Kluyveromyces lactis: one gene and its partner. The protein of the gene in region 2 purifies or fractionates together with the protein of the main gene of each other region. This does not show direct contact. Links are inferred from orthologs where the notes say so. Each region holds a gene or a part of one and is shown on either strand. Other genes may lie near its edges.

What was found.
Region 1: the proteins of PSE1 (region 2) and YRA1 purify together in Saccharomyces cerevisiae (affinity purification with mass spectrometry; 4 studies listed by BioGRID). This does not show direct contact. The link is inferred for Kluyveromyces lactis from reciprocal best matches to the Saccharomyces cerevisiae genes PSE1 and YRA1.

What each region holds. Positions count from the first base shown.
Region 1 is NC_006041.1:255,499-262,005, reverse strand, and holds YRA1 (RNA-binding protein YRA1), read right to left. Parts: upstream 5,048-6,507; coding exon 4,793-5,047; intron 3,557-4,792; coding exon 3,143-3,556; downstream 1-3,142. Other genes in the region: ORT1 (Ort1p), read left to right, coding at 1-111; KLLA0_E02817g (uncharacterized protein), read right to left, coding at 238-1,152; KLLA0_E02795g (uncharacterized protein), read right to left, coding at 1,490-1,657; COI1 (Coi1p), read left to right, coding at 2,387-2,710; AFI1 (Afi1p), read left to right, coding at 5,889-6,507. UniProt on the Saccharomyces cerevisiae protein: RNA-binding RNA annealing protein. May have a role in pre-mRNA metabolism. Component the TREX complex, which operates in coupling transcription elongation to mRNA export.
Region 2 is NC_006039.1:1,220,970-1,230,385, forward strand, and holds PSE1 (importin PSE1), read right to left. Parts: upstream 5,434-9,416; coding exon 2,161-5,433; downstream 1-2,160. Other genes in the region: KLLA0_C14113g (uncharacterized protein), read left to right, coding at 1-900; PXR1 (telomerase inhibitor), read right to left, coding at 933-1,748; KLLA0_C14190g (CBS domain-containing protein), read right to left, coding at 6,080-7,867; KLLA0_C14212g (uncharacterized protein), read right to left, coding at 8,250-9,416. UniProt on the Saccharomyces cerevisiae protein: Functions in nuclear protein import as nuclear transport receptor. Serves as receptor for classical and arginine/glycine-rich nuclear localization signals (cNLS and rg-NLS) in cargo substrates.

The DNA of each region.
Region 1 (6,507 bases), on a different chromosome or scaffold from region 2:
ACTCATGGCATTACTGGTTTTTATCGTGGTCTCGGTATAACTTTGATCAGAGCAGCACCGGCTAATGCTACTGTATTTTACACTTACGAAACACTGAAGAAAATGTTTTAAACTTGTACCTCTCGCAAATTAACCTATTTACTTTGAGGTTGACTCTGAAGCATCCAAATGCACTCATAATATATAAAGAATAATCAAAAATTCAGAATAGACTACGATAGAGGATAATATAATAGATTAGATAGACAAAGTGTTCTTCTTGTTACTTTTGGTGACTGAACGCAGAAGTTTGATAAATTTCAAAGACCATTGAATGAAACCTTCCTTGAAGAAGAATAAAAATGCTGCTGTCATGATACTTTGAACCAACTTAACAGCAACACCATTATAAAGTCCGGAGACCCCATCTTTTTTCACAATTTCGACAATCAACGACCACATCGATTTTTGATGTTTTGGATCGTTCTGCATCAAATGCATTCTAGTCTTTAATGTGATATAGGGATACGTGGTTCCTGTAGCTGCTAATTTACCTATGGCCCCCAACAAGAATGCCCAACTTGGACTCAAGACTTTTTTCCTTTGTAGTCTCAAAACAAGGTTCTTCAATTGCTCGTAGACAGTATACTGAATGATAGGGTTTGAAACAAGAACTAAAGCAGGCTTCAACCCATTGAGAAGAGTCAATGGACCATCTGTCTTCACAATGTCTATGACTGTTCTTAAGGTCGAATGGTTGCTCTTAGCAACTGTCATTCTGGTGTTAGCAACCCAAATTGGATTACTGGCAACAGCAGTCATCGAACCAGCAATGGTACTGGCCAGGATCGACTCCCAAGTACTTAAGTACTGTTTCGTTGTCAATGTTCTTGCAGTCTTTGCGCACCATTCGTAGAAATAGTAATAAACGAAATTAGTCGTAGCCATCCCGTAGACAGCACTTTCCAAACCTAAAAAGTATCCAATGATACCATTCTTGTTATAGATCTCCTTGATAGTCTCTAGCTTAGGTCTCGCCTCGTTTTCCTTCGTTTGAAGGTTAGTGGTGATGGTGACTAAAGGGTAGGTCACTGCGATTGAAGCTGCACCACCCAAAGATCCAGCAATGGCGTGCGCTAATTCATCCACATCGTTAGGATTAATTTCTGACATCTCACAAATAGCTCATACACACTTCTGGGATGGTCTTGCGAGCGATGACTTACTGCGACTCACTGTGAATCAGAGTATGGAATCTTTTTTTCAAAATTACATAAATGTTATTATTTCACATCTTTAAAAATTCAGGCTTTTGACTAAGTAAGTTTTCAGTTGTGCACATTCAGAATCTTAAGTAGTTAGAAAAATAGAGATATGAATAAGATCGGTCTATGATTTACAGGAGAGAAGTTGATAGAAGCAGTTGCGCCAGCCAAGTGTTTGGGGCAGCAAAAAGGATCATCAACTTTAGAATATTATATAAAAGCATATAAACAGGAATGGTGTTTCATCATTTAGTTTCAACGGCAGAACCGGACTTCTTCGTTTCGATTCCATGCTCTTCGGCGATTTCTTCCCAAGATTTGGCAGAACCCTTGGCATGTCCCGCCTTTCTTTCATCCATTTGACCCTTTGCAACGTACAAAGAACCCATACCGATAGCAGTCATTAGAGCCATGCCACCCCTAAGAAGAAAGGTTTTTAAGAGAGTGTATATCCAGGTCGACCCTAGACATCCATCCGCTTTTTGAAGGTTAGTAAAGTGATGAAATTGATCGGAGCGTATAAAGCAACCTCGTGCGTTAGAAATTCTGTATCAGTGTCATCTTAACATACCAGAAAGATTTAGGAGTATTCATGCTGAGAGACGGTCTATTTTTCTTGTCTACTTAATTCGTCCAATCCGAAGATACTAGTCTCTTCTCTTGCAGGTTGCAGGTTGCAGGTTGCAGCTTCTCGAACTCGGTCAATATCTAGGCACAAATAAATAAATGAACAGGTAGTTGCTTAACGTTATTACAATCTGTATGATAATGGTGTGTGGAATAAGGTGAAATCACCATGAGGTCAACATTTTTTTTCTTTCTTTCTTTATTTCCGCAATGGGTTACGGCGAACCTTTCCTCAGCGAAAGAAATCTAAGGAAAATAAAGATTTGAATTCAAATATGAGCAGGAATCAGAGATACTGAGCGAAAGTAGTAGAGGAATCAGTTAAATAAAAAACAGATTGAGAACAGCATCATAGAGCGTGTTGATAAAAAAATAGATCCTGAACGGAAGAAGGAACTATTCGGATTGAGTGACGAACCATATACCAACTTTGAGTTTTTATTTTTATTTGGCTTTTGGTTTCTAGCATTTAGCATCAGAGAGCAAACTTGGTAGATACAATCTTTTCAATAAAAATGTCTAACCCATTCCAAAATATTGGTAGAAACTTTGCGTATTTGTGTATTGGTCTTACTGCTTCTATAGTTATCGTCAAGACCGTTGTACGTGATGCTAAAGTTTCCAAGTTCGACCCGCAGAATTTGAGTGGGGATGAGAAGAAAGATGCAGATTCTTATTACGCAAACCCTGCTCTGGTGAAACCAGGGTTCCCCATGAAGAAAGAAGAAGAAACCACGGAAATAAAAAGGAAAAGTGAATTTGAAGGGGCCGGTTTATCCTACAATACAAGAAAGCGTGGTGATAGATTAGGGTTCTTGGATAGAAGAAGTAACGAATGATTAATAAGCAAGATTTTAATTCTGCAAGGCAATACACGAACCTACCCATCACACTTATTTATTAACAACACACACAAACACTGCAATGACTAAATGAAACAATCTAGAAATATATCCTGTTCTTTACTGAAAGATTCCTCATGTAAATAGTGCTTAAAGAAAGTGAAATAAAATACAAACTATTGATATCAATATTATAATAAAGTTTAGCTAGGTAAGAAAAGATAGGCCGAGCACATAAGAAAGATACGGATTTTTTTGATTGAGAAACCACGCAGTCACACCGGTTGAAATTGAGGAATATAAAACAAACAACAAATGAACTGAACTTCTAGGATGTCTAACGAATAGATTCGAAAGCAGAGACAATCCGTTCGTTATTAAGGAAGACTTTATAATTTCTCAGTCCAGTAATTTCAAGAACGCAATATCTTATTTGGATTCTTCAAAATAGTCAGCCATTTCCTTGTCTAAGTCTTCCAAAGACTTCTTTTCTGGCTTAGCTCTTTTCTTTTGCTTAGCAGCAATGGCTTTCTTGTTTGGACCGGCTGGTTTCTTCTTAGGTTGAGGCTTTGTTGGAGCTGCCTTCTTGTTTGGCGCGGCAGCCTGAGCATTCTGTACAGGGCGGATTCTGTCCAATAATGTCTTTCTGCTTGGATCGACAATCAACGTCAATCTCAATTTGGATTTACCACCATCAATTGGTGCGTTGTGGAATTTCTTTACAGCTAAGTTAGCTTGTTCTGCGTTCTTAAAGGTAATAGTGGCCATACCAGTGGAGTTACCCCTTTCGTTGTAACTCAACAAAGCTTTTTGGACACCACCGACTTGATGGTTGAAAAATTCCTAGTAATAATAAGGGAGCAAAATTTTTGTTAGTGAAACTATTCATAGATAACTGAAAACAGCGGAGTCTTCAATGAATAGTCCTGTAGGAAATCATTCATGTTTACAATTCATCATACATGTACGACCCGGTCAATTCTGTCACGATATGAAGTTAACTCTTAAACAGTAAAATATACCACAAATGGGTTTCATTAGGTTTCGATTTGAAGGTAGGATCTAACATGACAACCAACAAAAAGTAAGTATACTATAACTTTTCTCTTTTCTATTTTTTTTCTTGGAGAGTAAATCTGGAGTCAGTGATGAGATCTCAACCAGACAAGATAGAACATGTTCATAGCAGAATGACAAATGAAAATCGATTTCAAATCCAGCATACCCATCTCGATTTATTACATTCATTGAAACTTGCTTTTCAGTGGCGTTTCAATTTTTGCCAATTTTTTTGAAGTTGTCAAACACGACGACCTTGCTAAAAATGTCGCACTATCTTGAAGATTGAGGCATCAAGCTAAACACACACCAAGGAAGAGGTCAAACTTAATTGTTCCTACAAGGTGTACACCAAGTAATCTTCTTCAAATTCCCAGTTCTTTGCAAAGAGTTAGAAAAAAGAGAATAATACACTGGGCATCATTAAAAAATAGATGCATTGCCAAATGTAATAAATGGTAACAGAAACTCCAGTGACACATAATGTCACAAGAATAGAAGATATGACGAGAAAAAATAGATATACTTCATCTTTTCGGCATTTCCCAATCGTGATTCACTACCGTTTCTCCATCAAATAAAATGTCGTAAATAAACGAAGTTCAGTGCATAATTTTGATGAAAAGTTCTGTCAACTTAGAGGAGAAAAACGGAAAGAAATCACAAAGGAAGGCTTGCTGAAAAGCGAAACCCAGCCAATTGGATAGCTAATTTCGTTTTGTTATATTTCATTAGCTCAATAAAAACTAACTCTGAAATAAATTATTCACACATCAATATCAGACCTCAAAAAAGGTATCGATCGACCGTTTCTTCTTAATCAAATACACGGGAATGTATGATCGTATAGTAAACATAAGGATGGAATTCCACAGGATATATCCGTTGTAAACTTAAATTAACCGCAAGTCTTATTGCAGTTTGATCCGATTTGTTTTCGCAATCAGTACAGTAGCATCTCGACAGTCCTTTTCATTAGAAAAGAACCTACTAAGAGGCCATGGCTAAAATGGGACATACTTTAACAGCGTCTTGGTTAATGTCTCTTGGCAAACCCTCGACATTAACTCTAGTAGAAATAGGAGCTCTTAGCAAAGCTGGCACTAGGGCAGCAGCAGAAGCAGCCTTCTTTGGAACTCTAGAAGGACCGGCACCTGTTCTGGTACGGCTCTTGTTGACTTGCTTAGAAACCTTCTTTGGCCCGGCCTTGTTGTTTCTTCTGGCATGCTTGGCTGAGCCAATAATTTCATCTAATGATTGATCTAGAGCAGACATTGCTTATGAGAGTGTAAAAAAAAGAATCTGATGGGTAGCTGATTCGAAGGAAATAACTTATAAAGTTGCTTGCCTTATGAAGTAGAAACAAAGAGAAATTTGAAGAACAACTTTCATGGAAAAAGGGAAAAAAATTCCAATGGGCAAAAATCTATGGCTCCTTTTATACAAAAAAAATCAAATATCAAACTTTTTGTCCAATTCTTTTCAAGAAAATCAAAACCAGCACGATCAACAAAAGAGGGTAACGATTGTCATTTTCTAAGATCTGCTGCATATGTAACGGTGTACTTACTTCATTCCTGACATGATAAAGATTTTTGTGAATAACAGTCATTTCAAAGACTAAAGATAATGCTCCATAATTTCGTCGAGGGGACTCATTTGTTTCCAACAAACATCGTTTAGCTTTATTTCGTGAATTGTAAGGCCGCAACAACTGAAAAGTAAAATCCGTTGATATATAAGATAGACAGCTATTCGATCAATCTTATGTTCAAATGGATCGCTTCCGCAGATAGACCCAAGTAGGCTGTGGCGGGAATCTTACAACGCTTAGTATCCAAACATTCTTCTATGCCTTCCTGTCATAAGCGAATAGAAGCCGAATTGAATCCATTTACAGTCCGGGTAATTTCATGATTATTTCACTGTTAGCGATATTATTTGGTTCATTTTATTTGATCGGTTCAAAAAGAAAGACGATGATGGGTCAAAATCGTGCTATTTTACAGCGAAATGATACAGACGTCTCACTGGCAAGTTAAATCTCCGAACGACGGTCAGGTGGTAAACGGACTGACTCTGTAATTAAAGAGGAAAGACCGCGCGTTCACCAGTTATGAAACACTCTTCCAAGGTAAAAACAGGATTGAACTTTCACCTACGACAATCTCAAAATGAACACACACACTCTAACCCCAATGTTCAATTTATAATAGCGGCAGAATTTGATAACAAATCTGGGCCGATAATAAAGCATCAATATCCAAAGACAATCCCTGGTTTTAAAACTATTGGGAGTGATTCCACTTGTTCTCATTTGGCCAGTTTGATGATACCGAATAGTGTGGAGAACCATCCAGGTAAACCAGATTTCACTGTTTTTGTCTTATACAAGAATCAAAACGTTTACCAGTTGTTTCCTGTATCCAAAAATAAGACTAAAGGTACTGACTTGGATTCCTCACTGATAATTGAAGAGGAAGACTTTGAAGAAGAACAAGAAAATGGACTGCGAAGTGGTAAGATTGGATCAATTAGAGATGATAGGCATTTAGAGGAAACTGAGCCACCATTATTTTTCTTAAGTGTCGTGAACACGTTTTTAGATAATTCAAATGATCGCGGTGCTTATATAAAAGCCATTGCACTGGGTACTACTATGACAAACTTTTACACATTTAAACCATTGTTAACAATGGTGCTTGATCACTACATGACATCGAATAACAACGATA
Region 2 (9,416 bases):
TCTACATTCCAAGAATCTGGTTATGCTGATAGAACGAAAGAGTTTTCCAACCTTTCAGTTCCAATTTTCTTCTCAGAATATGGTTGTAACGAGGTGAAACCTAGACAATTTCAGGATGTTGCTTCTTTATATGGTGATGATATGACTGATGTTTGGTCAGGTGGGATTGTTTACATGTACTTTGAGGAGGACAACGAATATGGATTGGTTTCTATTGATGACGATAAGGTAAAAACCCTAACTGATTACAACAATCTAAAATCCGCCCTTGCCAGTATCTCGCCAACATCCGCTACTAAAGATAAGGCCACTACCACCAGTTTAGAATGTCCTTCCACCGGTATATACTGGAAAGCCTCGACAGATTTACCCCCAACTCCAGACAATTCAACTTGTGAATGTCTTGAACAAGGTCTTTCATGTATAGTAGCCGACGATGTTGCTACTAAAGATTATGCTGATTTGTTTGGTATTGTATGTGCGGACATAGATTGTTCAGATATCACAAACAATGCAACAACTGGTAAATATGGGGCATACTCTTTCTGTGACTCAAAAACTAAACTTTCCTACCTTTTGAACAAGTATTACGAAGAAAATGATAAAAACGAATCTGCTTGTTCGTTCAGCGGTTCAGCTACACTTGTGTCAGCTTCAAGCACTGCCTCAAGCTGTAATGCTGTCCTATCATCAGCAACTGCAAATGCCTCCGGAGGTTCCAGTTCTGGAACCAGCAGTAGCAGTGGATCTAGCTCAAGTTCTTCCTCTTCCTCATCATCATCGAAATCATCTTCTTCTGCTTCAAACTTGGAAGTGAGAAAATCAGGGACCTCCTTTGCTGCGCTTATGGTGTGCACCATCTTTTTCATTGCTGTCGAATGCAGTGTAATATTAGTTTGATATCTTAAATAAAAGTATACGTATGTTATCTATCAGTCTGTTACCATAAATATTTCGTTCAGAGCTTTAGCATCCATCACTGCAGCCCGCTTTTGTCTGATCCATTTCGCGCGGACCGAGAGCCTAGTAGATACGGCATCTGGAACAACAGCAGCTGAATCTCTAGGTTTCAGCATTTGGTCTCGAGTAATTTCGTTGGTATCTTTTGAATGTTTATCCTTGAGTTTCTTCTCTTTCTTTTCCTTCTTCTCTTTCTTAACCTTCTTCTCCTTCTTGTCCTTCTTCTCTTTCTTCTCTTTCTTCTCCTTTTTGACCTTCTTAACCTTCTTCTCTTTTTTTACCTTCTTTGTCTTCTTCCGATCGCTAACCTCACTATCAGACGATCCCTCTACCGGTCTCTTCTTACCCATACTATAACTTATGAGTTGCTTATTTTCAGCATCCCATGTACTTGCAAGGACTTCTCCCTTCACAAAGTGTATCCCCCATTTCCCGTTTATAATATTGTCGGTTCTTTGCTTATCCAATTCATCTGAAATTGTCTGCTCATTACCATTTAATCTTCCAAGTAATCTTTGGAAGACGTCCAATCCCGTACATTCACCACTATCAAATTCATCTTGCTTCTCTTTCTTTTTGAGTTTCGCTCCCAACCCAAGATTGTCATCTTTGATAGAAACCTTGATATGTGATGTTGTAGAATCTGGAACTAATCCCAAACCGGAACCAGGTTTCCATCCTAGTTTCTCTAGATGTTTGTGTCCAAATCTTGATGTATTGTTACTCCAAGTTGTGTTTCTTGGATCCAATCCAAACCTTTGTTTATTCCTTGCTGCTGCCAAACCCATCTTGAAATTACTGAATAATGTATTTATATTATGATAATGAAAAGTGTGCTCTGCCAAATGGGGACAGTTCACAATGAATCTTTTTGCTATCAAATACTTTCAGTCTCATTTCATCTCATCTCATCTCATCGCTTTAACAATTCTTTTCAGTATTTTTTTCTTCACAGGATTTCAAGAAAAAGAAAAAAAGAGTTCTCTATTAAGAATAATGATAATGGAAATTGTTGGTGCCAGGCGGGTTGCATAGTATAGCAAAACTGATACAAGCTTGAATCTATTCCGTTCAATAAGTAGAAATGTCTATGCAGTATAAGAAGACTCATATGCTAATTCATAAAAATCAGTATAGAGGGCTAAACATGTACATATATCTGATAATTGGCCTTGGGAAATTAAACCCACGAATCATAATTCAAGCGAACCATTTGTGTATGGTTTGCATGATTTCCGGTGGGTATCGTTGAAGTAGAGCAGATGCTTGTTCCTGTGGGATAGTACTTAGTAGTTTTTTTGCAGATTCTACCACAGCAGTAGCATTTTTTCCACCGATAGACTTTTGATGTAAGGCTTGTATCACATAATCAACGATTTCGGCTGTGTTACCTTGAATCACAGGCGAATTGTGGTCTATCAATTGTGCCAACATTCTATAATTGAACGCGGCACATTCTTCATCGTGGATAACGGGGAAAGTCTTCAACCAGTTGGCAGTATACTGTTCAAAGTTTGGAATGCTGGAGCCGTAACTGCTCAAGATCTTTGCAATGGCGCAAGATGCATTTTCCGAGGAATTAACGTTATCTTCAGATCTGGATTCTGGCATGTTGACGATTTGGAATAAAGTTTCCAACGATCCCAAACATATGTCAGAGTAGGTGTTGGGGGCATATTGTGCACATACTCCGAGTAGGTATGCAGTACCCTGGCGAATGGAGGGTTCAGGGAATGTGAGGCACTCCTTAATTTTCTGAACGAAATGCTGTTTGAAAGGTGCAGAGTTATCGCCAGTGTATTCTATCATATCAGCAATTGCAATCAAGGCGAACAATAAAATGAATACCTCAGTCTCCTGCAAGTATGAATGTATTATTGGCCATAAAGTCTGGAACTGCTGTAGATAAGAAACACCTGCTGATTTGAAAACAGCAGCTAAAGATTTGTTAATCTCGTCAAGCAAATCTTCATCGGTATACTCATCAAGATCGTCATCAACATCTTCGTTGTATTCGTCATCCTGATCGTAACGGGATTTTGTTCTTTCGTAGACGTCGGTTAAGTTATTGTTCACACCTTGTGTAAATTGTGACAATTGCTCTTGATTTAATCCGTTGTTTCCGACAATTCCCAAACAATCAACAAGAGCATAGTGATACGACTTAGTAACTTCTGGCATCGGTTCAGAAATAATTCCAGAAATTAGCTTATTAGATGCAATTTGCCATAATTGTAAAACGATATCGTTGTCCTGTCCTACAGCCGATACCAAAGAGGTAAACAAAGCAGGAATTAAAGTAGCACCACGAGCTCTAACACCATCATGTAAGTAGAAATCAATAGATGGGACGGCAACTTCTGTAAGGATTTCCTTAACGTATGATGCAAAGAAACTTTTCAACACAGTGGCGTAAACTTGTAGAAGCTCCATAGCAGTCACTTTATCATCTAAAACTGAAGTATGAATAGCGATGTGCTTACCTTGAATTTGCACAACATCCCAATCTGTATACTGTTGGTAGTTTGCAGCTTCCTCTTCTTCAATTAAACTAACGTCCTGGGTAGCCTTGGCAGTTTCAAGTAGTGGCGGAATAACTACATCCAATAACGGAACAAAATCCTCACGAAGAATCCTGCAAACTCTACTCCAACTTTGTTCAAGGTAAGTCTTTAGAGGATCGTCGTCCTGAATACCTTCATTTTGATAAGTTATGAATAACTGGATCAATTCTTGAGAGTAGGAGGCAAACTTTTCTTTGCCCACAGCTAATGCAATAAGAGTAGAACATTCCATACACTTACCCTTCAAGACTCTGCTTTCAGTACCTGTATCGGTTCTCAACACGTTTATCAATAATGGCATTAATGTATCATAGTATTTGATGAATTTCTTTTCGGCTGCTTCTGCGATAAATGCGATAGTAGTTAAGGCCTGTTCTTGAACGTACAGCTTGGAACTTTGCAACATGCTTAATAAGTTAGTTAAAAGACTATCCAAGTAAGGTTCCATAATCGATTGCGTAGCTTGTTCGGAGAAGTTCACCAAGGCAGCCGCTGCATGGGTCTGAACTCTGTCGACAGAGCTTGAAGTGAGCTTAGAGATTAAAGCAGGCAAAATTTTTTCATGCGAAGTGCTTTGAATGAGAGGAGCGAAATCAGTGGATATCTGACCCAATACATTACAGCAACCGTATTGAACTCTTGGATGTGGATCATCGATCAGTGGAACAACCATTTCCAAAATCTTATCTATCTCGATCATTAATACATCACGGCAACCTTCTGCAGCAGATGATAACGCCATCAATGCTGCGAACCTCTCTCTCCATTCAGAAGATGTGATCATTTGTTGTAAGAATTGGAATAAAGGTGCGGCCAAGTATTTTCCGTTTAATTTCAAGGCAACACGATCCAAAGCTTGACGTGCCATATCGTAGGTATTTTCCTCATTATCTTCTTCTACATCATTCGAATTTTGCCATTCGATTGCTTGGTCATCATCGATGGAAACTTCAGTCATCATGACAAGGGTATCAAGTACCACTGATTGGGCGTAATTTTGATTATTTTTACACATCTGAGGGGCGCATTCACTGAAGACAGTTAACAACTCCAAAGCAGTCGTTCTGGCACTCGGTTCTAAATCTTTATTCTTGATGACCATATCTGCAAATTGGATAATTTGATCGAACATATCTTTGAAGAGTTTAGGAGCCAACTCAACTAATTCGATCAATGATTCGAATACGGCGGCCAAGGCCTCATCTTTACTGTCATCCAAAAACTTTGGCAAACTGTTCAAAAGACTTGGTAATAGAACACCTAGTTTGGCCCAGTTATTCTTTGGAAGCTGTTTGAAGTACCCAACAAACGCTGTAACAGCTGCAATCTTGACTTCATCGCTAGGATCCGTGAATCCACTCTCAAAGATAGGCAAAGCATGGTTGATGTCAATGGAATTGATTAGATGAGGCATACTTGAGAAAATTCTGAAACTAGATTCTCTGAAATTTGGATCTGTGTTTTTGATAGCTTCGAATAACGTTTGGAGTAACGGAGGCCACTCAGGTAATTCTTCTAACGCACATTCTGCAATTGCATCAGATAATTTGTGTCTAATATTGTTGGGTCTTTGGGAGATAAAACCCTTCAAAAGTGTATCTCTAATTTGCTTCAAGGCTTCCTTCGAAATATGGGTAATATTTTTGGCAATGATTATAGTCTTAGATGAAGGTGGCGCTCTCAAAGCTAGCTTACGGAACAAAACTGCAGACAAACCTGCAGTAGTCAAATCATCAGAATATGCAGATTGTTCCGCTAGAAACATCAACAAAACTTCGATGTGCTCCGGTGTAATCCAGTTGTTATTCAAAGCATCTTCTGCCGCCGAACGAATCGCATTGTCTGGTGATGCAAAGCCCTGTAGCAACTTCACCAAGGTGCTGTTCACTTCATCCGGTAGAACTGACATTGTTTCGAATCAGCCACCACAAAAAATGATTCAAAGGAAAAGGATAGTAGAAGAACAAAGAACAAACAAAGTAAACTATACTGCTATCAGCTTTTCGATTCTCTCCCTCAATAGAGATTATTGCTTACAAGCTCAATTTTCCTACCGTCAAAATATACTGATTGCAACGAAGGCGAACTTATGTTCAATGCTAAAACTTCAGCAAAAACCAGTAACTGTAACATAAAATGTACTACTATTCAATTTTCAATATATCTGAAATATCTGATCTTAGAACGAATTGTTCTTTCATGTATAATTTGGAATCACAGGAACAGAGAAGGAAGAAAAATTTGGCAGGTCAAACTAATAGTGCATCGTCCATAGTGATATGCGGGTAACACATAGTGGTGCTCTCTGTAATATCAAGATCGTCGTCATCTGTCATTGGACAGTGTTCTTAATATAGCAGAAGAAGGAAACGGTTAATTGATGTGAATATATTTCCATATTTGCTTTGTATTTCTGATAGATGTTCTAGTGCTTCTTTTCTTTTTTCTTGGCAGCCAATTGTTTATTCATTTAATAAGAAAGAATTATGAGTGGAAATGTATAATCTATATACATCGGTATATGGCAAGGATAACCAGTAACTTCCCCGAATGTTTCATTTTAAAGCTTTTCCCACCATAAAACCAGCGAAGAAGACTATACATGCCTGCATGTATATCTTCAATGAGGAAGTATGAAACACTGCGGTGAATGGAGTTGCCATCGTTTTAAAAAACTGACGTAGGTGGTGGAAAACACCTGACTGCTTATCATGCAGAATAAAAAGCAAAGGCATATAGTGACGGGAGCCCTGCATAACAATGAACTCGTCATAAATTTGATGCAATTTTTCATTAGTTTTTATCTCGATATCCATGTACTCAATGGAGTACGGTGATTCGATTCCATAAGTTTCTTTCACTTTGGCTACAATCTCATTTAAGACGTCTTTTTCAAAGTTTACTCCGGACTGAGTCTTGAATTTCATAGAGCCTAGAACTTGATTATCCTTATTAGGCTTCACGACGGTAACTTTCAATCGGAATTTGGTATGTTTTCCATTTTCGAAGAATTTTTTTTGTAATAATGTGGAGCTTCTTCTTCCAGAAAACTGTTCTGGGATCGGTTGCTGTGATTGTGAAGGATATTGTTGATGTTGTTGTTGCAAATGAAGTTGCGATTGTTGTAACTGTTTGTGGGAGCTAAAGTTACCTATTGTTTGTGTTAAATCTACCAAAGATAATTGACTAGAAGAAGCACTTTCATTATCAGAGGCATCAAAAGATTTCCAAAAATAATTTATAGATAAAGAAGGAACTTCTAGCTCAGATGCTGATCCAGTCCTGTAGTTTTCATCAACATCTTTCTCTACAAGCAAAGAACCCAAGGGAGAGTCAACCGAATTTATCTTCAAATAAGGTTCTTCAATAGCAGACTGTGACGAAACGTTTTTTGAGGTTGTAGCAAATTGACAACGGAGCGCAGCATGTGTTAATTGAAGGACACTGATCAAACCTAGAATATTTCCTGTGTCATCAATAACAGGTAAATTCAAAAAATGACCCTCGTACATCATTCGAAGAGCTGAATGTATACCTAGACTTTGGAAGGCAAAGTTTGGCCTCGTTGTCATTACTCTAGCCAAGGTGCATGACTCTGGATCGACGGAATTTCCTTGACCTAATACTCGACAAACGAAATCTTTACTAGTGAAGATGCCTATTATATTGCAGTCATTGTTATTTCTGATGTCAGATTTGGTCGAAGAATCATGTATTAAAATAGCAGTACTTTTATTCTCAGACATCATGCTCATTGCTTTTGAGACAGTGGTCGTAGGACTAGCAAATAGCGGAGTTGTGTTGTACACATCAGAGTCCAAAATAGACTCTAAGACAGGCGTCTCCATGGATTCTATCAAAGTTGCTATGTCTTGCAACAATTTATGTCTCGTCATGGTTGCTTCATTCTCGATAACATCTTGAATGGCATTGTTCAATTTCACACTGTCTTGCGCCATGATTTCTAACCTACGCATTGCTTGGTGGAAACATTTCGTAATGTCTAAGATCCCAACGATCTGCTTAGAATTAGGGTCAATTATGGGTAGATGTCTAATTTTCTGTTCGACCATTATTAGGAGAGCGCTGGTAACCGGCATTGATGAGGGCGTAAGAACCGGAGTTGTCGATAATACGTCCCGAGCAACCAAACCTTCCTTGAAAGCTAGATCTTTGGTAGTGATAATACCTTCCAAATGCTCACCACTGGTGACTAGAACACAGTACTTTCTTTTACTAGTCATTAGTTTCGCAACATTGTAGATTGAGTCATCGCCTGTACAAAATAATGGCTGTTCAAGCGGCAAATTCGCCACCGTGGGAATTCCAAGCTCCAATACCATGAAGAATCAAGTATACCGCTGACTGCTACTTGAAGATCACAAACCAAACTTCGTACTAGCTTCTTCTGAATGCCAGGTTTATGTGATGCAGTGACTGTTGTTTATGTTCACAAGAGTAGCTTTTTCACCCATTGGTAACTTTTTTAAACCCTTAAATAGTGACATGAAATTCGCGTGTCAAATTTAAAGTTACGTCGAGAGTATGACGAAAGGGTCTCCAATGTGATCAGAAAACGAAGACATAAACCCAAAGGTGATACATAGTAGGGATTTATACAGGGCGTTAGAGTCAAAGTTCAGTTTCCAATTTAGATATTTTACTGTTACAATTATCATTTACTATTTACATGAACATATTATTGAAGGGTAAGATGAAGAATAACTAGAAGGAGAAGGAAGGAAAACCTAAATTGGCATCAAGATCGAAGAAGTTTGAAAGGTCAAGATTTAAATCCATTGGTGCATCTACCGAGGAAGCAGCCGAGTACAAAGGATCTTTTTCGAATGCATTTGATGATAAATTGGCTGATGGTAGGTTTAACTTGACCAATCTCTTTTGAAGGTGAATCCAAACATCCGCATCTATCAAATGTAACGAAGAGTGAAGGTAGAAATTAGTTCTAATAGTTTCTGCATGTTCTACATCAAGGCCCCATTTTCTGGCAATTGATGTTACTACTTTCTGCGGAATTGGCTTATTGCAGAGCTTGAAGTCCCAAAACCTGGTCGAAACGTCTAATATTCTGTCCATTTGAAGGATTTGGATAAAATATGCAAATAAACATTGTGTTTTATTATAAAACAAGCTTGTTTTTAATAGGTCATACTTCTTCGATTGAGTTGCAAGGGAAATGAAACATTTTTCAGTAAGATCATATAGTTCTTTCACGAGCTGCAATTTCGAGACAGATACGGTAGGTGCGTTGATGTTTTCAACAACAGTTGATGCTGCATGTCGTTCAGTCATCTCCAAATCTTTTTCCACCAATGCCAATTTGAGTAAGATACTGAGGAAACATAAAGAAACTCTCAAATAAGATTGTTGAATGTGCTTTGCAAGTACGTAGCGGAACTGAGCAGTGTCTTTTTCATATTTATTGAACATAAGATCGGAAAGGAAACTGTAGAACTTGAAACAGTTGAAAACCATCATTTCAAATAGAGTAGAATGCAGCCTATAAAAGGTGGCATTCTCTTCCGATTTTAGTTTGACTTCGACTTTCAAATACAAAGACCAAAGTACATTGTGAATTAGCGAACTTGTTGCAAGCTTCATAATCACAATTTCGCAACGCAGAACCTCCGCGATATCCATTGTACAGGTAGTGGATGGTAGTTTGATCGTTGCTTGGGTATCTCCAGGGTAGTCTTTTAAACTTTCAAATTTCAAAACCTCTGCTTCTAGCTTTGAAATCATGAATAGAATTTCAGAAACAGCGGCAGGAACAAAATCGGTACAAGCTTTATTAATCTTGGCCATAAGTAGTCCGAGTTGGTATTTTTTTATCGCCAAATTAATGAGTTGGTAATCAAATTTGCCGGAAGACGT